Linked DNA regions of Arabidopsis thaliana. The protein of the gene in region 2 purifies or fractionates together with the protein of the main gene of each other region. This does not show direct contact. Each region holds a gene or a part of one and is shown on either strand. Other genes may lie near its edges.

Evidence for each region. Proteins that work in one complex are often made in the same cells at the same time.
Region 1: the proteins of PBB1 (region 2) and Cpn60beta2 fractionate together in Arabidopsis thaliana (co-fractionation; one large-scale study listed by BioGRID). This does not show direct contact.
Region 3: the proteins of PBB1 (region 2) and Cpn60beta3 fractionate together in Arabidopsis thaliana (co-fractionation; one large-scale study listed by BioGRID). This does not show direct contact.

The regions. Positions count from the first base shown.
Region 1 is NC_003074.8:4,387,290-4,393,860, reverse strand, and holds Cpn60beta2 (TCP-1/cpn60 chaperonin family protein), read right to left. Parts: upstream 4,647-6,571; 5' UTR 4,497-4,646; intron 4,193-4,496; 5' UTR 4,177-4,192; coding exon 3,973-4,176; intron 3,891-3,972; coding exon 3,765-3,890; intron 3,681-3,764; coding exon 3,543-3,680; intron 3,462-3,542; coding exon 3,366-3,461; intron 3,275-3,365; coding exon 3,032-3,274; intron 2,959-3,031; coding exon 2,724-2,958; intron 2,607-2,723; coding exon 2,437-2,606; intron 2,345-2,436; coding exon 2,267-2,344; intron 2,176-2,266; coding exon 2,104-2,175; intron 2,020-2,103; coding exon 1,915-2,019; intron 1,834-1,914; coding exon 1,741-1,833; intron 1,658-1,740; coding exon 1,565-1,657; intron 1,474-1,564; coding exon 1,350-1,473; intron 1,251-1,349; coding exon 1,237-1,250; 3' UTR 846-1,236; downstream 1-845. Other genes in the region: AT3G13480 (nuclear polyadenylated RNA-binding protein), read left to right, coding at 13-473, 620-677; ECT2 (evolutionarily conserved C-terminal region 2), read left to right, coding at 5,641-5,668, 5,950-6,026, 6,117-6,264, 6,360-6,430, 6,513-6,571.
Region 2 is NC_003074.8:10,150,253-10,156,336, reverse strand, and holds PBB1 (N-terminal nucleophile aminohydrolases (Ntn hydrolases) superfamily protein), read right to left. Parts: upstream 3,880-6,084; 5' UTR 3,721-3,879; intron 3,446-3,720; 5' UTR 3,428-3,445; coding exon 3,284-3,427; intron 2,787-3,283; coding exon 2,645-2,786; intron 2,513-2,644; coding exon 2,416-2,512; intron 2,340-2,415; coding exon 2,270-2,339; intron 2,175-2,269; coding exon 2,070-2,174; intron 1,990-2,069; coding exon 1,891-1,989; intron 1,562-1,890; coding exon 1,474-1,561; intron 1,362-1,473; coding exon 1,285-1,361; 3' UTR 890-1,284; downstream 1-889. Other genes in the region: UKL5 (uridine kinase-like 5), read right to left, coding at 1-85, 169-284, 370-439, 518-609, 686-782; AT3G27425 (ECA1-like gametogenesis related family protein), read right to left, coding at 4,962-5,279. UniProt on the Arabidopsis thaliana protein: The proteasome is a multicatalytic proteinase complex which is characterized by its ability to cleave peptides with Arg, Phe, Tyr, Leu, and Glu adjacent to the leaving group at neutral or slightly basic pH.
Region 3 is NC_003076.8:22,871,691-22,878,252, forward strand, and holds Cpn60beta3 (TCP-1/cpn60 chaperonin family protein), read left to right. Parts: upstream 1-1,977; 5' UTR 1,978-2,181; exon of another isoform or gene 2,182-2,218; intron 2,219-2,354; 5' UTR 2,355-2,367; coding exon 2,368-2,571; intron 2,572-2,646; coding exon 2,647-2,772; intron 2,773-2,860; coding exon 2,861-2,998; intron 2,999-3,087; coding exon 3,088-3,183; intron 3,184-3,271; coding exon 3,272-3,514; intron 3,515-3,602; coding exon 3,603-3,837; intron 3,838-3,937; coding exon 3,938-4,107; intron 4,108-4,184; coding exon 4,185-4,262; intron 4,263-4,349; coding exon 4,350-4,421; intron 4,422-4,501; coding exon 4,502-4,606; intron 4,607-4,706; coding exon 4,707-4,799; intron 4,800-4,878; coding exon 4,879-4,971; intron 4,972-5,047; coding exon 5,048-5,174; intron 5,175-5,262; coding exon 5,263-5,276; 3' UTR 5,277-5,717; downstream 5,718-6,562. Other genes in the region: GulLO4 (D-arabinono-1,4-lactone oxidase family protein), read left to right, coding at 1-732, 829-930, 1,015-1,730. UniProt on the Arabidopsis thaliana protein: Involved in protein assisted folding.

The DNA.
Region 1 (6,571 bases), 5.8 Mb from region 2:
GTTTGGAATTTGATGATCGGGTGTTTTAAAGACCCAACATATGTTTTGATGAGGGTTTTGCTGTGTAAGATCCAGTGCCCTTCTTTCATCTGTTTCTGTAAGCCTTCTCCTCATATCTACGCTTCTGGTTCTCTCAAATTGGAGAATACTTTTCCTCAAGTGTCTTCTTCGACTACGGTTGTTGATGATCGTGACCATGATGACAATGATGATGATGATGCACATGTAGAAGAAGAAGAAGTTGTTGTTGATCATGTTGATGGTTTGTTGACTGAGGTTGTTAGAGAAGAAGATTGTGCTCTAGAGGGAAAAAAGGAAGAAGAAGAAAGTCTTAGTAATGGGGAAATCTTGAAAAGCAGTCTCAAGAAGGAGGTCTTAGATTCAGCAGATGGTGGGAGAAAGGAGAAGAAGAAAGTACAGTGGGTGGATTTGATGGGGAAAGAACTTGCTGAGATCCGAGAATTCGAGTCTAGGTACTGTCTTCTATGAAGTTTGAATCTTTGTTTTTCTTAGGTTTCTTGGTATGAAGTTTGAATCTTTGATCAATTCAGGCTTCAAAAGATGCTAACTTTGAGAATTAGTTGATTGACATTTGTCTGAATCCCTGTTATATTTGCAGTGAAGAAGAAGATGTTAGATATGATGGCGATCAAAGCTGTGTTTGTGTTATTCTGTGATCAACTCGGCTTAGTTTTACCGGAAGATATGGCAATGGTGAAGGGTGAAGAAGCTTGCTTGAGAATTGGCTCTGTTCAGCTTGTGGCTTTGGATTTAGAATCCATCTACATTGAGGTACATATAGTAGAATCCACTTTTGCTCACCTGAGGTTATATGTCGATTGTCGATTCAGTGTTTACGGTTTTAGAGTTGTTAAAAGAATTGCTTTATATTACACTTGTTTACTTAACCAGTTAATGAAGTTCTTTCTTAGTCAGATTCAAGAAGCTTTTAAATTTAAAGTACACTTTTTGCATTCTATCTAAGTTCCCTCAGCTTTAGCATGTATATAAGATGGTGTTATTAAGAGCACTCAAGATTTTGAAGATCACTGACAAGTTATTCAAAATGATTTCAAATATGATATCTAGTGAACACATTATTCTCTGGTTCAAAAATCACTACACTTGCACAGAAAATTTGTTTGCAAGCTAAAGGAATCCGTATCCCAGTGAGCTACTCTCGCTTCGGAATTTTGCCTATCTCTCAGCTTTACGAGCAAACCTGGTCGGTCTATCTTAGTATCCATAACCTGAAACAAGACAATCGAGAAAGATTCAGTGATGAAGAAACATGAGTTTTGTTTTGATGTCACTGTCCAGTTTTTATGAATCAGAAGGTCTGGACTAACCTGAGTTGTCCATTGGGTTACCAGCAGGAACTGGCTCTGGCTCTGGGATCTCAACAACCACACAGTCAGACATCAAGAACGTCTTTGCAACTGAGGCGGCATGTTCTAAGCAACATCTCACAACCTGAAAACAAAAATCCACTCAGGTTCATTGGATATTTTGCGATCAGATGGGATAGCAAAACAGAGTGAGGGAGTGTATGTGAGAAACTGACCTTTGTCGGGTCGATGATGCCTGCAGCCATCAGGTCTTCATACTTGCCGGTTGCAGCATTGTATCCAAATTTCACATTATCGTTAGCCAGCACCTGCAATAAATAAATACAGCTTTTTAAGCAACTTACGTAGATCAAGAGCTGAATAAGCATGGATGTTCTTATGTTGTTATAACCTTCTCGCTGACAACACTTCCATTAACACCAGCATTCTTAGCTATCAATTTCAGAGGGTAACTCAGTGCTCTTTTAACAATTTCCGCTCCAACCTAGAGATGGGAAATAGTTGAAAATGCAGTAAGAGCAAGCAATTTGCAAAAAATTTCAAAATTCTTGATTTTGCCAATCACCTTTTCTTCATCATTTTCAAGGGTATCCTTGATGGCATCGACCTTTGATGCAAGCCGGAGCAGAGTGCAACCACCACCAACGACAATACCTTCCTCAACAGCAGCCTGAAACTCAATGAGGTCATATAATTAAGATATACATGAGTAGCACGATACCTATAACCCCATCAGCTGGATAAAGAAAATCACCTTTGTAGCATTAAGAGCATCTTCCACTCTCAGCTTCTTTTCTTTGAGCTCTGTCTCAGTTTGAGCTCCAACCTTTAACCAAGATGTAAAAACTTTAATTAGATCACTTAACTTATTCTTCTATCATACAAATCCAAGAAAGTCCATGTGATTACTATTTTACCTGAATTACAGCAACTCCACCAGAGAGCTTCGCAATTCTCTCATTTAATTTTTCCTTCTCGTAGTCTTGCTCCGCTTGCTGCACAACCGCAGTTGTATTAGCATAAACAAACTTTATACAAAAAAAAGTAGCTGTCACAGACTCTTATGCGGTTTGACTCAAACATATACCTCAATAAGATTCCTAATCTGTACAACACGCTTGTTCACTGCTTCTTGTGTGGTCCCATCACCCACAATTGTTGTCATTTCCTTTGTCAGGACAACCTTGGAAGCGTTACCCAGAACCTCTTTTCCAGCTTTGTCAAGAGAAAGACCAACTTCCTCTCTGATCACAGTTGCTGCACACAAAAACAGAAGCAACACGGTAAGGTTTTAACAGCCAAATGATTCCAAATCAGGAGGGCACATTGATTGATACCCACATATAGGTTTTTTGTTATAAAAACATGACCTACCTCCAGTTAGAATGGCAATATCGTCAAGGTATTGGCTCTTGCGCTCTCCAAATCCAGGAGCTTTGAGAGCTGCAATCTTCAGTGTGCCTCTAAGCTTGTTAACAACAAGAGTAGCTAAGGCTTCTTGTTCAATATCTTCTGCAATTATGAGGATTGGGTATCCGCCTCTAATCGCATCCTCTAGAACCCCAACAAGATCCCTTGCATTGGTTACTTTCTTGTCAACAAGAAGCAACTGCACAGTAGAAACTTGTTAGGCTATTTGCATCACAATATCATTTTGGTAGCTCAGAATAAAGAAAAATTACCTTGCAATTGTCATACTCAACAGACATTTTCTCACTGTCTGTCACAAAGTATGGGGAGATATAACCACGGTCAAATTGCATTCCTTCCACAACATAAAGGTTGTTCTCAGCGCTTTTTCCCTCCTCCAGGGTCACCACACCCTTCCTGCCCACTTTGCTCATTGCTTCAGCAATCATACTTCCAACTTCGTGGTTATTACCCGCACTAACAGCTGCCACATCAGCAAGTTCACTGTCTTCAACCTATATTTCCAATGACATAACCTTTAGACCATCTTGCTATAGACTCTCGAAAAATTAAGAAGAAGGAAGTTTTAGCATAATAGTTACTTACCTCCTTAGACATAAGTTTCAGCTCGTTAACCAAAGCCTTTGCAGTCTTCTCAATCCCCCTAGTGATCAATACAGGGTTCGCACCTGCAGCCACCACCTGAAAAATACAAAATTTCAGATTAATATACTGTTCTTCTGAGTATAAAATCAGAGAAAGCTGAAAGAAGAATGTAACAACCTTGACACCCTCAGCAATAAAACCTTGTGCAAGAACAACAGATGTTGTTGTACCGTCACCAGCCAAGTCATTGGTCTTTGCAGCTGCTTGCCTTACAAGCTTTGCACCAATGTTCTCAACCGGGTCCTCCAACTCGACCTAAGCAGAAGAAAACCTTAAGCTTAGAGAAGTAATTAAAAACGAAAGGAACATAATTGGTTAAACAGACAATAAATTTCATACCTCCCTCGCAACAGTGACACCATCATTAACAATTCTTGGGGATCCATACTTGCTCTCAAGAACAACATTTCTCCCTTTTGGTCCAAGTGTGACACCAACAAGGTCCGCGAGCTTGTTAACACCAGTCTAATAACAAACGAGTAATCAGAAACCAAAAATAAAACGAATCCTAATCATTACTCCAGAAAATCAATTCATTAATTCTCACCTGAAGTTTCCTTATGGTAGTCCCATCCTTATTGAAATGCAACTCCTTGGCTGCACATACTATGGCAGGACGGGATCTTCTGACGCACACGTTATGTCTCCTTCCAAACGAGCTTGAAGAGATGCTAGTCGCAGAAGACAACTTGATAGCATTGGGAGCAAGCAACGAACCAAGGGAAGACGTGGCAGTGAATGTCGATGCCATTTTCACTTCTCAAACACTGAAAATCAATCCAACAGTTCACATAAAACGAAAGATTCACCAAAAGTACTAACCAATTAAAACTGGCAACAAAAAACAAAAAACAGATGAATTTCAAAATCAGAGCTCAATCCCCAAATACTCAAAACCACAACTACACCAATAGCCACAAATCTCCGGGAACACGAAAACAAGGTAACATACTTTTTCTCAGCTACTAGTAATACTTGTTAATTCCAATTCTAACAAAACAATCAATCGACACACACAATTACATAGGCGCCAACATTGTGAGCTCAATTGATGGGAAAAGTGACACTCACCGGACGGTGGAACGACGGAGGTGAGGAGAGAGATGGCGCCGAAGAGGTTTATTCCGGATAAGGAGGAAGAAGTAGGTTTCTCCAATGACGAAATGAAGAATGCACTTGCTACTGATAATTTTTTCTTTGAATATAAAGGCGATATGAGCCTTTAGCTCTTGAAACTTCGAGCTAATCTTAGCCGTTGGATGTACTCTTCATTGTTTTCTCATTAGAACTCTCTAGAACGTCGGATGGGTAATCGGATCATGGGTTTATTTCCGGTGGCCTTGTTTGGTGATTTGGGCCTGTTTATGAATCTTTAATCAAATAGGCCCATTACATACTCTCGATCTTAAAATGTTTTTATTTAATAATAGCTTTTTTAAGCTAAGGTAATTTACTTCCTTTTATCCTAAAGGTAAAGTATATTTTCTTGAATAGCTAGTTTTGGTAAGTTTCTCTGAAAAATAGATTTTACTTTCTTTGGTTTTATCTTAATGATTTGCTTTTAGTTTTTAAATAGTTGCTCAAAACAAAAAAGTTTAATATATATTTTTAAAGATATTTCAATGTATATTGGGGTAAATTTATAGAAGAAACACACCTATAATAGAAAGCATGCCCTCTTTTGCTTTTAAATTTGACCAAATTTACTTTTGAATTATATTTTGGTAACAGAATTGAGATTTATATCTATTTTATTACAAGATTACCAATTTTAAGAAAATGGAAAAGTATATTATCCAGATTTTGCAGGAAAAATAACCAAAACCACACGGTCTATAGTCTTCTTTTAAAACAAAAGAGGAAATATCTTAAGGTGGAAGAAAAAAAAAAAAAAAGAAAGAAAAAAAAAAGAGAGAAGGTGAGGTGGTTGATTAGTGGATCTATTTGAATCAGAGGGAGAGGTAGAGAGACAAAACCCTTTTTTTCCTCTTCCCCGAAGCAAAACCCTTCTCCTTCTTGGCGGCTGCGGCCATTTTTTTCTTCTTTCTCTCTTCTATTCTATCTCTTAAACCCTAGATTTGATCTGGGTTTTTCCTGATTCCATTTAGGGTTTCTCTATCTTCTTTTTTTTCTTCTTCTTCTTCTTTCTCTTTGGTCGCATCCCCTTTTATCCGAGAAGGATCTATCCAAATCTTTGTTTGTCGAATCTCCTCTCATGGCTACCGTTGCTCCTCCTGCTGATCGTATCCTTTCTTTATGTTTCTCGATCTGTGTTTTGATTTCTCGATCTTGAATCTGTTGGATCTTGAATCCAGTGAGCTGATTTTGAGTCTTGTTCAGATATATTTGATATTGCCTAGATTCAGTTTCGGGTTTCTCAATATATTTCTCGATTGTTAGGTTTCTATATTGATTCAAATCGATTCATTTGTGGCGAGTTTGATTGATTTGAGAATGTTTGCTTTCCACTATTCTAATGGTTAATTGTGTAATTCTTTGCTTCCTTGACTCACCTTGTTTGTAGAAGCTACAGATCTGTTGCAGAAACTATCCTTGGACTCGCCAGCAAAAGCTTCAGAGATCCCTGAGCCTAACAAGAAGGTGATTTGCAGATTGAATTTTGGTTTTCTGTTGTCACAACTTTTGCTTCTTCCAGTTTTTTTTAACGCTTTTGTTTTGTGTCTTGTGTAGACTGCCGTCTACCAGTATGGAGGCGTTGATGTTCATGGTCAAGTTCCTTCTTATGATCGATCTTTGACACCAATGCTTCCCAGTGATGCTGCTGACCCTTCAGTTTGCTATGTTCCTAATCCTTACAATCCCTACCAGTATTACAATGGTAGCTTCATCCTCAAATCATTTACAATCTAGAAACATTATTTCACTAAATTGTCACCACTGGTTTAACAAGTTTTTCGTTTTGTAACTTTTCAGTATATGGGAGTGGTCAAGAGTGGACTGACTACCCAGCTTACACAAATCCTGAGGGTGTTGACATGAATTCTGTAAGTGTGTGCTGACTAGTTATAATAGTGCCTTTCATCGTCTTTATATTTTCTTTGCTTAACAGGTTCAATATTTTACCAGGGAATTTATGGAGAGAATGGGACTGTTGTGTATCCTCAGGGTTATGGGTATGCAGCGTA
Region 2 (6,084 bases):
AGATCTTCATGTTCATGAGATCACGAACTCGAGGATCATTAAGAACTAGGATTCCCTCTAAGATGATTACATCACCAGGATTAACCTGAAGTAGGACATTGTAATTAGTGTTGCTAATCAATAACTAATGGTGTTTTCTGAGTCTCTGCAAGCAAAAACTAATAGTACCGGACTTGATGATTCAATGCTCTGATGGATTTTGAAATCGTAACTCGGAATGTTCACTGGTTGTCCAGATCGTAACTTCTCCATACATGAAAGTAAAACCTCAGTGTTGAATGCATCTTGTATCAAAAACAAAACAAAGATTCTTAAGAACAAAATTTGAATCGTTCCTTAGATCAAATCATCATAATTGATTTTCCTCACCAGGATGATCGAAGTTATATTCATGAACCTTGTTCAATTTCTCCTTAGTAAGCGAGTGGTAAAACGAATCCTGCAATTATTGAGTCGTCTTACGTACATATCTCACAACGATTTTGATGAAAAAACAGATTATGAGTTTAATAATTACTTGGTTAACAAGGACAACACGTTGATCATGTAACTGAGACATGATCATATTGCAAACCGTCGTCTTCCCGGAGGCGGTTCCTCCGGCAACACCTGATATAAGCAGATCGTTGACGGAATCAGAGAAAATCAGATTTTGAATCATTTGAGAAATCAATGAAAAACGTACCGATCACGAAAGGTTGTTTAAGAGGAGCAGGAGCTGAAGGAGAAACATAGTCACTGATCAAACAGTGATCTCTAACGCCATTAGATAATTTCTCCATCGTCTTCTTCAATCCTATGTTAGTTTTTAAAAAGCTTTTACTCAGATAAATCAAAGAAGAAGAAACAAAAAAACAAATCTGAAGAAAAATAAAAATAAAAGATAAGTGTCGCTCTATAGTAACGTCTTATATGATAAATTCGTATCTCTATTTCCTATATATGTATATACTCGCGTGTAGAGAAATTAGCGGCAACAAAAACACGTCATCCTGAGACAAAAAGCGACGTCGTATTAGGAGATTTGGTTAAACAGCTTGTACAATTCAATTCGGTTTGCACAAACCAATAATAATTTAGGGAAAGTTGTTTTTTTATTTCGAAAGGACGAAGTCTCTCGAGTCTGACCCTCTCTATTGAAATCTAAGAAGGAGAGAGAGGAGTAACAAGATTTGAATGATCCTTAAACATGGGAAGAAGACAAGACTGGGAAGATGAGATCATGAGAGTACACAGAGCCTTGATGTAGATCAATGCAAAAGAAGATATATGAGATTGATTGAATTATTCCTCCATAGCTTCACCAACTTCTGTGATTTCGACTCGCTCCAGCAATGGGGTGATTTTGGTGAGAAGAACCTCTGTTACACAATAAATCAACAAAAATGAAGTGAGAAAAACTGAGGATTTCGACTAGCTAAAGGCGAGGGCGGCGATGCAAGTTTCTTTGTTGTGTGTTTGAGAGTAACTTACCAGTTTTCTTGGTGAAGGAATAGCCTTTGCTGCTGACATAGGTTCTTGGGTTTGGTTCCATGTAGTTCCTGAGATATTCCTTGTTCCCCTGTTTGCCAATATTGTGTCCAATAATAAGCTCAAAAGCAACAAAACATACACATGTAATGCAAAAGAGTTTGATCTGGTGGTGAATAACTTGGGTCAGCTTAATATGTACATGCAGAACTGAGGTCTAGGATTGCATTAAACCAAATGGAGAGGTTGTTTTACTTTTATTTAATGGCAATGCTAAGAGTTGGGTTTTGTGAGGTTTGATGGCGATTTACTTGGTCACTGTTATGTCTATGAGATGATAAACTATGAGTCTAACATGCTGACCAAAGGTAGATTTGTGGATTAATCAAAGGTACAGGTTAAAGTAGGGTGAAGACAAACCTTTGTGATCACGCAGATGTCCACGTTGCTACCACTACCCAGGTCATTGAATATACCCGAGCATATGGATTCAGCGACCAGCTTAATTCCTTCATCCCTCTAGAGGATTTTGTAAACAAGAATAATCAGACAGATGAAAATAACGTCTCTGGATATTGAAACGTGAATGGCTTACTTACAGTTAGGCCTTCTTTATACTTTGCCTCAAACACAGACATAGCAGCAAGAGAACCCGAACCCATTGTGGCGAATGGAAGAGTGTCAGTTGAACCGTGTGGGTATATCTGTTTATAAAATAAACAGGTCAAATATGATATGAATAACAACAAACAAACAAAAAAATCTCTTCTCAGTATACTGTCGGGGATGTATAACTTACAGTATGCAGATGTGGACCAGTGATATCAACTCCACCGAGTACAAGAGCAGCAGAGACATGACCTTGGTAGCTGAAATGAATCTTAGGCAGTTAAATCATCTATGTTTCTTTAAGACGAGTTTCTGGAGGAGAAAGAACAAATTTACCTGAAAAGATGTTTTTTGAGAAGGGTCAAAGCAGTAATGACCCGAGAGTCTCGACCAGTCTGGTAACGATGCAATCGCAGCTGTGAGCTGACCATATCTGGACAATAAGAAAGAAACCAAGATAACTAAGCATCAATTTCTATGAAGTGATGCATTATGCCAGTTAGATTCTGATTTCTTTGACAGAGAAAACAAAATCTGCCCCACTGAAGGTAGAAAGTATATATACCAGTGACTGCTTCAGTATCAGCCGCAGTTCCTGCACCACAGCAATATATGTTTGGTGCCATATAGTGAATCTTCTCACAGTTCTTATCAGCAACAATTGGCCCCTCAGTTGCTCGGGTATCTGCCCCTAGTATCACACCATCCTATACAAAGCCCGAATATCAAAATCAATATTACACAGCTTCCACAATAATTTACTAAAAAAAGCAATCAAAAGACAACAATTAGAACACAAGAACTCAAACATCTTACACGTCTAGATACTATGTTCTAAACTATACGGAGAGACAAGAGCTAACGATAAGAACCACCACATTATCACTAAGCAAAACCTACTTTAGATGAAACTCATACAAGGATCTATCATGCGAAACTGAAAGTGCTCGTCAATAACGACCCTAAAGAGTTTAACAGACACAAGTAAACAATCACATTATAGTAGAGCAATCTAATCAATGTGCCTGCGACTCAGTCTTAGGCCTCAACTTCTTGACTAACCAATTCTAAAAAGATCTAATTTTAACTTCCACAATACAAAACTTAGTTCTCAGCTGACTAAGAACAAAAACAGTTCCCATGAAACTATTACTCTATGCAATCTATGGACAAGAAACTAATGTGAGAGAATAAAAAACCATACCTTGAAAATCAAACCAACAATGGTTGTTCCAGTCTTCAAAAAAGACGGAGCTTTAAGACCCTTTTGTGTAAGCATATCATTTCTCTTACACAGATCGAAGCTAAACCCACCCTTTGGCGGAACATCTACGGTTGATTGCGACATTTTTTCAAATTGACAAGTCTACAATCACAAAAAGTTAAGTACTTTAGCATCAAAACGATTACCCATAAGAATAAACTAGTTTCCCGAAATCTTCTGAAGCAATTTGAGATTAGGGTTGAATAATTTCTTCAATATCAAAGAGACCAATAAAAGTTCAATCAAAAACCCTCGGATCGAGAGAAACCGTAGAATCGAATCGAGCAAGAGAGACTTCAAGAAGAGAAGTGCGAGAGTGATGAAGGAAGATACCAACAATTCAAAAAAACTCAGCTTGAGAAGAAGAGTAAATTTACCTTGATGAATTTTGCTTGAATCGGGAAAAAAAATAGAACAAGAGAAGAAGAGAGAGGTGAAGCAAAAGTTACAAAAAGAAGGAGAGTTTTCTTCTTCCCCAATTAACCTTTAGAGACACAGAGGACATACTTAAACATCTAGGGATACTTTGGTCTTTCTACAAATAGAGCTTGAACTCTTAGGTTTAAATGGGCCTTTTTCCTTGTTGTTGAGCCCATTTATATATCCATCCGATTGTACAATTAAGGTATTAAGCTTCTTAGGCCCAATAAGTATACATCCCAACTAATCGACGGCTACAATAACACGGCAAAAACACCCGAAAATTACCCATCCGTTCAATACCTCAAATTTTTTTTGTTAGAAAAAAACACTTGTACATTTAAATATATATTTGATCTAAAAATTCTTCACATCCTTGAATTGTTGGTGGATTTAAATCTACCTTCCAAAACAATTAAACGATGTTAAATGTTAACCTTATGAGTCATGTATAGAGATTGATATATACAATCTTTTTCAAAATTTTACAAATATATTAACTGGTGTAATATGGTGATAACAAGTAGGTTATTTATGAAAATATAAGAGTATAAATGGGTTAAAAACACTCATGAGTAAAAACAAACACTTATTGAATTTGTAAGAAATGTCATTATTATTAGTAATTTATATTTAATTTATTATATACTATATTATCTCGATCTCATCTCGTATGTTGTTATTATTATTATTATTTATTTTTAGACTTGAATTTCCAATAAATGTCATTATTATTATCGGCTTTCATATGTTTTGACTAAGATCATTTTTTATCGTATGTTATTTCATCTTTTACATGGTTTATCCATTTATTTATGAAATCCGATAATATTATAAGTGTGAGTCAAAACATGATTTAATTTGGGGATTTCTTTTAACTACACAAATGTTAACATATATTTCTAAGGTGGCAAAAATAATAATATAATTGATAAATATTTTACATAGTTTACAAATGGATTAGTTGATTTTTGAAATCAAAATTTATAAATTAATTTCCAACAAATGAGGAATGATTACATATTTACATTTATGTTGATATCCTTTTGAAAACCGAAAGAGTAAGATAAATATGAGACCTCAAACATTCAACACGTATAGAGAGTTAGGGATTTTATGTGTAACTTGAACAAAGTTAAAAAATTATAATGTAAATATGATTTTTATTATTATATTATTATTAAGAGATAAACAAAACTTATAGACTTAATGGAGACATTGCTGGAAGAGGATCGCTATAAATACAAATTAATCTAAAGGTAGTAATAGGGTAAGTTTTGCCAGGATAGACAAGCAAGGCACAAGTAGTAGGAAGTGAAAACACTGCTCTGCAACAATTTCTTGTTAGGAGACTATAATCTTTGTTATACGCTAATTGCAACGCATGGAAACATCCCGGTATATAGTCTATGTTGGTTCTCGAACAATAATTTTTCTGAGCTTTCGATTGTTGCAATATTAATGCAGAGATTAGGACTAACAAGAAAAACATCACTTTGGTTTGTTTTAGTTTCATTTTTGAGAAGATCGAAAAAGCAAATTTTTGTTGTGGGTTGGTATTGTATGTAGTTGAGATCTTTTTTCGGGGATCTGTTAGATGCTATGTAGGAAATTATATATATAGAAAACCTATAAGAATAGTTTGGAAAGGAGATTCACATTCTCAATTTATACTAATATATTAATAAAATAGTCAAGTCAACCAAAGAATATTGGTTTTAGAACAAAATTACCAAAAGTTTAACATATATCAATCTTAATTCTTAAATATAACTTTTTTGTTGATAATCAAATTATTATATTAATATCAAGCAGCTAGTTCAAACTTCCCCCATTAGTAAAGCTCTAGAAATATTTCATAGCTTTTTATTGACTGTCATAAAATAATTATTCAGATTTTATTTCCAAATAAAATAAAATAAAAATATCTTTTTTTTTCATGTTACGATTTTTTTTTTCGTTTTACTTTGAAATCAAAATTTGTTTTTGTTTGATTTATTTAAAAGTCTTGAATACCGTTTTAATGATTTTTTGTGCTTAGGTAAAACATCTTATAGGACGAGAAATATTTTCCCTATCTTAGTTTCTAACCGAAACTGATACAATGACAGACGATTAAAACAAAAATAATGAAATTGATACACACTATCTAAAGAGATTAATCGTCTAACAGACACATTAGCAAACTATGTGTTTTCTTTGGATTCATGTCATGATGTGGTCAATGATTTTTTGTTAGAGAAATCTTCATGGGACGAAGGACAAAGTCTTACCAAATCAGAACCGATTTTCATTTGTTAACCGTCCATGTAAGACCAACT
Region 3 (6,562 bases), on a different chromosome or scaffold from region 2:
TGGTCTCTATAGTGGCTGCAGCCACTAGAGCCGGCCAAAAAATGCGGGTCGTGACTAGGTACTCTCACAGCTTCCCCAAGCTGGTTTGTACTGATGGTAAAGACGGGACTCTCATAAGCACCAAGTTTCTAAACCATGTGGTGACCACCAACCCGGAGGCCAAGACTTTGACGGTTGAGAGCGGCGTGACTCTAAGGCAACTGATCGAAGAAGCAGCTAAGTTTGATCTGGCTTTGCCATACGCACCGTATTGGTGGGGACTTACGGTTGGAGGAATGATGGGGACAGGTGCTCACGGAAGTTCTTTATGGGGTAAAGGAAGTGCGGTTCATGATTACGTGACCGAGATAAGATTGGTGAGTCCCGGTTTGGCTTCTGATGGGTATGTAAAGGTTCAGGTTCTTAGCGAGACTATAGATCCGGAGGAATTTCGCGCAGCCAAAGTTTCTCTAGGTGTTCTTGGTGTTATCTCTCAAGTAACTTTCGAATTGCAACCAATGTTCAAAAGATCGTTAAATTATGTTATGAGAAACGATTCGGATTTCGGAGATCAAGCAGTGAGTTTTGGCGAAAGACACGAGTTTGCGGATTTCTTATGGTTACCGAGCCAAGGAAAAGTGGTGTATCGCATGGATGGCCGAGTTCCGCTTAATACTTCGGGAGATGGCTTGTTCGAATTTTTCCCATTCCGTTCACAACTCTCTTTAGTGTTAGCCATAGATAGATCCTTAGGTAAATCTTTATTTCTCAAGATAATTAATACCAATATTTTTGATTTGCATAGCTATAATGTTTCTTATATATATACTTTTGCTTCATGTCATGCAGAGGAGAGTGAAGAGTCACTTGAAGATGCAAACATGAAGTGTGTGAGGGCAAAGCTAGTATCGTCGTCTATGTTTTTAATGTCATACGGTGTGACTAATAACGGTATTTCTTTTACTTGCTTATACATTTGTTGATTGTTTCGATATAAGATTATACAAAACTTTCACTAGTAATTTCCATGGACAGGCCTAATATTCACAGGCTATCCGGTCATCGGAATGCAAAACCATATGATGTCGTCAGGTTCATGTCTAGACAGTCGTCAAGACGGACTAATCACGGCTTGTCCATGGGATCCACGGATAAAAGGCCAATTCTTTCACCAAACAACATTCAGTGTTTCTCTCACAAATGTCAAAAGTTTCATCAACGACATCAAAGCACTTGTGAAGATCGAACCGAAATCTTTATGCGTACTTGAAGGCAGCAACGGTATTCTCATCCGCTATGTCACATCCTCTCTAGCATTTCTCGGAAAAGAAGAAAAAGCTTTAGATTTTGACCTAACTTACTACAGAAGCAAAAATGATCCATTGGCACCGCGTCTATACGAGGATTACATTGAAGAAATCGAGCAAATGGCGATATTCAAATACAATGCGTTACCACATTGGGGGAAGAATAGGAACCTAGCGTTTGATGGTGCCATTAGAAAATACAAGAACGCAAACGCGTTTTTAAAAGTAAAAGAGAAATTTGATTCTTTAGGATTGTTTTCCACTGAATGGACTGATCAGATTCTAGGTTTAAAAGGAAACGTGACGATTGTGAAACAAGGATGTGCATTGGAGGGACTATGTATTTGTTCAGAGGATTCTCATTGTGCTCCTACCAAAGGTTATTTATGTAGACCAGGTAAAGTTTATAGAGAAGCTAGAGTTTGTACTCGTGTAAGTTCCTAAATCCTAATCAAAGTTTTGGTCCTCAGTTCTGTTATATATCAAAAACCTCATTCCTCTCTCTGCTTTAAGAGAACAGAGCAGTCTCTGTTCATAATTGACAAGCGAAAACGACGTTGTATTGAATTCGTGACACGTGTCAAACAATGAGTAGTTAATCAAAGTGTCACTCGCACGTGAAGAGAGTAGAGTAGGTGGGTTTAGGGTTTAAGTGTTCCAGATTCTTCCAAATTCAGTTGATCCAACGGCTCAGACTTAACCTGAAACCTTTGAAGACGCGATCCTCGAACTTCACCAGTCCGTTTGCACTATGCAACCAAACACACTTTGTATCGAATAAATTAAACAAAAATCATAACTTTACAATCGCATAAATCGACTTTCATCTTCTTCACAAGAAAACCTCTCTCAGTCGCTAAAACCCTTGAACCATCTCTTGATCGCTAGCTTCTAAGTAAGTGTATAGTTGAATCATTTCGATCAAAGTTTAGGTAAAAAGTTGTTTGCTTTCAGATACCCTTGTTTTGATTTGTGTCGATGATTACAAAGTTTTACTTTGATTTGTGTCTTTAGGGTTTATTAGATTCATTCAAGCTATAAAGTTTTGATTTTGATCTGTTTTTGCAGAGAGTGAAAAACCATGGCATCAACCTTTAGCGCAACGTCGTCAATGGGTTCATCTTTGGCTCCTCCTTCGAATCGATTGTCATCTTTTGTTTCGATCTCATCAAGCTCTTTTGGAAGGACTCAGAGTATTGCTCAGAGGAAAGCAAGGTTTCCTAAAATATATGCGGCTAAGCAATTGCATTTCAATAAGGACGGGACTGCGATTAAGAAGCTTCAAGTGAGTCTATTCTATTTCGGTGATTTTGTGACTTCTAGTTCTTTATTGAATAACTTATATCATTTCATTATGTAGGCTGGTGTGAATAAACTTGCGGATTTAGTTGGGGTTACTTTAGGTCCTAAAGGCAGGAATGTTGTTCTAGAGAGCAAATACGGTTCCCCTAGAATCGTTAATGATGGTGTTACGGTCGCTAGAGAGGTAACGGTGTTATCTCTTGTTGTGTCTAATGTGTAATCAGGTGTGAAATCGATTTGTAGATTTTGAAAAGCTTTTGCTGTTTGTTTAGGTTGAGCTTGAGGATCCAGTTGAGAACATTGGTGCTAAGCTAGTGAGACAAGCTGCTTCCAAGACTAATGACTTAGCTGGTGATGGAACAACGACTTCTGTTGTTCTTGCTCAAGGTCTTATTGCTGAAGGTGTAAAGGTTTGTAATTTATTGTCTTTCTTTTGTGAATTTGAAACAACCAGTGTTTTTTGTTGTTGTTGTGATATGATGTGGATTGAATTGTGTAGGTGGTAGCTGCTGGTGCAAATCCTGTTTTGATTACCAGAGGTATTGAGAAAACCACCAAAGCTCTTGTGGCTGAGTTGAAGAAAATGTCAAAGGAGGTATTGTTGACTTAATTAGATTCTTAATCTAGCTCTTTTCATGTGCTTTAGAGGATTCTTGATCATGTAGCTCTTTTCTGGATTGCAGGTTGAAGACAGTGAACTAGCAGATGTTGCAGCAGTTAGTGCAGGAAACAATTACGAAGTAGGCAATATGATTGCAGAAGCAATGGCAAAAGTTGGTCGTAAAGGTGTTGTCACTCTAGAGGAAGGCAAAAGCGCTGAGAACAGCCTTTACGTTGTTGAAGGAATGCAATTTGATCGTGGTTATATCTCTCCTTACTTTGTCACCGACAGTGAGAAAATGTGTGCAGAATATGAGAACTGCAAGGTATTATTATTGTTTATACAGTTAAATCTTAATAGCTGATAAAAAACCGCAGTATTTTTTGACTATATGTCTCTTCTTGCTTTTGTAGTTGTTTCTTGTTGACAAAAAGATAACAAATGCTAGAGATATTATTAGCATTCTGGAAGATGCGATTAAAGGTGGATACCCGCTTTTGATCATTGCTGAAGATATTGAGCAAGAGCCATTAGCGACTCTTGTTGTTAACAAGCTTCGTGGGACAATAAAAGTTGCTGCTTTGAAAGCTCCTGGATTTGGAGAGAGGAAAAGCCAGTACCTTGATGACATTGCTGCGCTTACAGGAGGTTAGACCAATATACTAAGTGTTCTTTACATTATTGCTTCTATATTAAAAAAAAGCATGTTTAGTTTCTCAAGTTGCTGTGTTTGTTTTTCTCTTTGTAGCTACTGTGATTAGGGAAGAAGTTGGACTTCAGTTGGAGAAAGTTGGACCAGAAGTTTTGGGTAATGCTGGTAAAGTGGTTCTCACAAAAGATACTACAACGATAGTTGGTGATGGAAGTACTGAAGAAGTTGTGAAGAAGAGAGTTGAACAGATCAAGAATCTTATCGAGGTACATCTCAAAAAACATTGAAATGTCCCAATAAATTGGTTTTATGTTACGGTGATTAAGTCTTTGGGTTTGTGTAGGCTGCTGAACAAGACTATGAAAAGGAAAAGCTTAATGAGAGAATTGCTAAATTATCAGGCGGTGTTGCTGTAATTCAGGTGAGATACTAAGAAACAAATCACATGATGCAAAAAGCGTAGCTTAAGGTAATAAGAAGAATAATCTAAACGTTTTATATTCTTTAGGTTGGAGCACAAACTGAGACAGAGCTTAAGGAGAAGAAATTAAGAGTTGAAGATGCTCTTAATGCTACAAAGGTAACATCATCTCTAAGCAAAGAGCCTTGAAATGTTTCCATCCATATGGTAGAGACTAAGTTGTTGGACCTTTTAATTAGGCTGCTGTGGAAGAAGGTATTGTTGTTGGCGGAGGATGTACTCTGCTAAGACTTGCATCGAAAGTGGACGCTATTAAAGAGACTCTAGCAAACGATGAAGAAAAGGTTAGTCCAGAAGAGTTGCACAGCAGAGAAAGATAACATGAATGAGGAGTTTGCCGTCTGCGGGTTATAACGCCATTTTACAATTCATCTTAACCTCCAGGTTGGAGCTGACATTGTTAAGAAAGCATTGAGCTACCCACTGAAGTTAATCGCCAAGAACGCTGGTGTCAATGGCAGCGTTGTCAGTGAGAAGGTAATCAATCTCCTTAAAAGAATGCAAGTTTGAGTCTTTTGATATAGAAACTAAGTCAATGGCTTTTTTCGGTTGACAGGTTCTTTCTAGTGACAACCCTAAACATGGTTACAATGCTGCAACTGGCAAATACGAAGATCTCATGGCTGCAGGAATCATTGATCCAACCAAAGTGAGCAAAGTTCCTTACTTTTTCACATATTGAAATCTGCTGTTTCGGGTGCTAACCGAGTTTTCTTCTTTTCAAGGTTGTGAGATGTTGCCTAGAGCATGCTTCATCTGTGGCAAAGACATTCTTGATGTCTGATTGTGTTGTTGTGGAGATCAAGGAGCCTGAATCAGCAGCTCCTGCTGGTAACCCTATGGACAATTCAGGTATCTCTTAGTTCTTCTTCTTGAATCCTCTGAATCATTAACAAAATCTGCAACTTTATTCTTACAAAATTTCTCTGTCGGTTTTCAGGTTACGGCTTCTAAGTTGGCAATTGAGAACAGAGTAGTCCCTGATGAAGCAAAAGCCACGACCAAGTTCTTCACTTCCTGATCTGAAACTTCTTTAAGCCAATGTAAATTATATGTTTTTCCAGTGACCTGAAGAAACATATAATTTGGTTCTGTGTTCTCCGATTCAAGATCAAGTTTTTCAATATGACAACTTCACTAAAGAGACACAGTTTGCAGTGCTCAATAGACTTGATTTAGTTAGTATCATTTTCTTTATTTCAAATTAAAACGAACGAGGATATGCACAAAATCATGAGCAGCAACAAGCCAACAACCAAGCACAATACTAAATTACTACTTTGTTTGTGGTTTTTTGTGGCCTCCATAGCCAATATCTTGATACTTTAAAATTGTAATCTATTTAATTAGTTCAACAATTCTCTTTACCTGAGCATAGACTATGACATAATGTGGAGTATATTGTCTATTACTTTAAAACTTTAAAATGTTCCCCAAACATTAATTAAAAAGACTACCAAGTAAACATCTGTAAAGCTGAGAAGTTTTTTTCATTTTGTATGATCTATACTAAATTTAACAGAACTATTATTGATGATATGTTTTTATATATATGAAATTTGGAGAATTTGTAAAAATCAACCATTTCTAGTGCTTATACTAACAATCCACATCATAATCTTTATTTCTTGTTCGTTCATCGATCTTTTTTTTTTATAAAACCACATTAGTTGAGTTTCAGAGTTGTCAGCAAACTGAAGAAAGATAGTAAAGTAAGTGATCTTCCTAGTAATTTCTTTACAACTTTTTGGTTTATTCTTCAATATATACAAAGTAATAATCGAGGAGAGAAATTTTCTAAGAGCATTTTCAAAGTCAATCTTACTTTAAAAGCTTCGAGTGGGTTCCACTATAACTCTGAGTCTCTGACACACACTCTTTCGTAACCTTTTGTTGTTTTTTCGGGTTTGTTCATAACTTTTTTTTTGTAAACCAAATTTAGAGTTTTAAAGTTGATGATGAACCTACGCAAACGCAAGAGATAGCTACTTAGTTGTCTTCCTTGAAATTTCCTTACTAACTTTTGTTTTCTTGTTCAACCTACCAAAAAGATTTGATGGGAAAAAAAATTATACACTTTTAAGAGCATTTTCAAAGTTAATCATACTTTAAAAACTGCAAGTAAAGTTATACTAGTTTTGCAAAGACATGAAACGATTCTAGCCACATATTTTCTTCTATTTAAACGAATTTAATCGTTAGTGTGAATTATAGGACATATCTATTGCAGATCCTAGAGC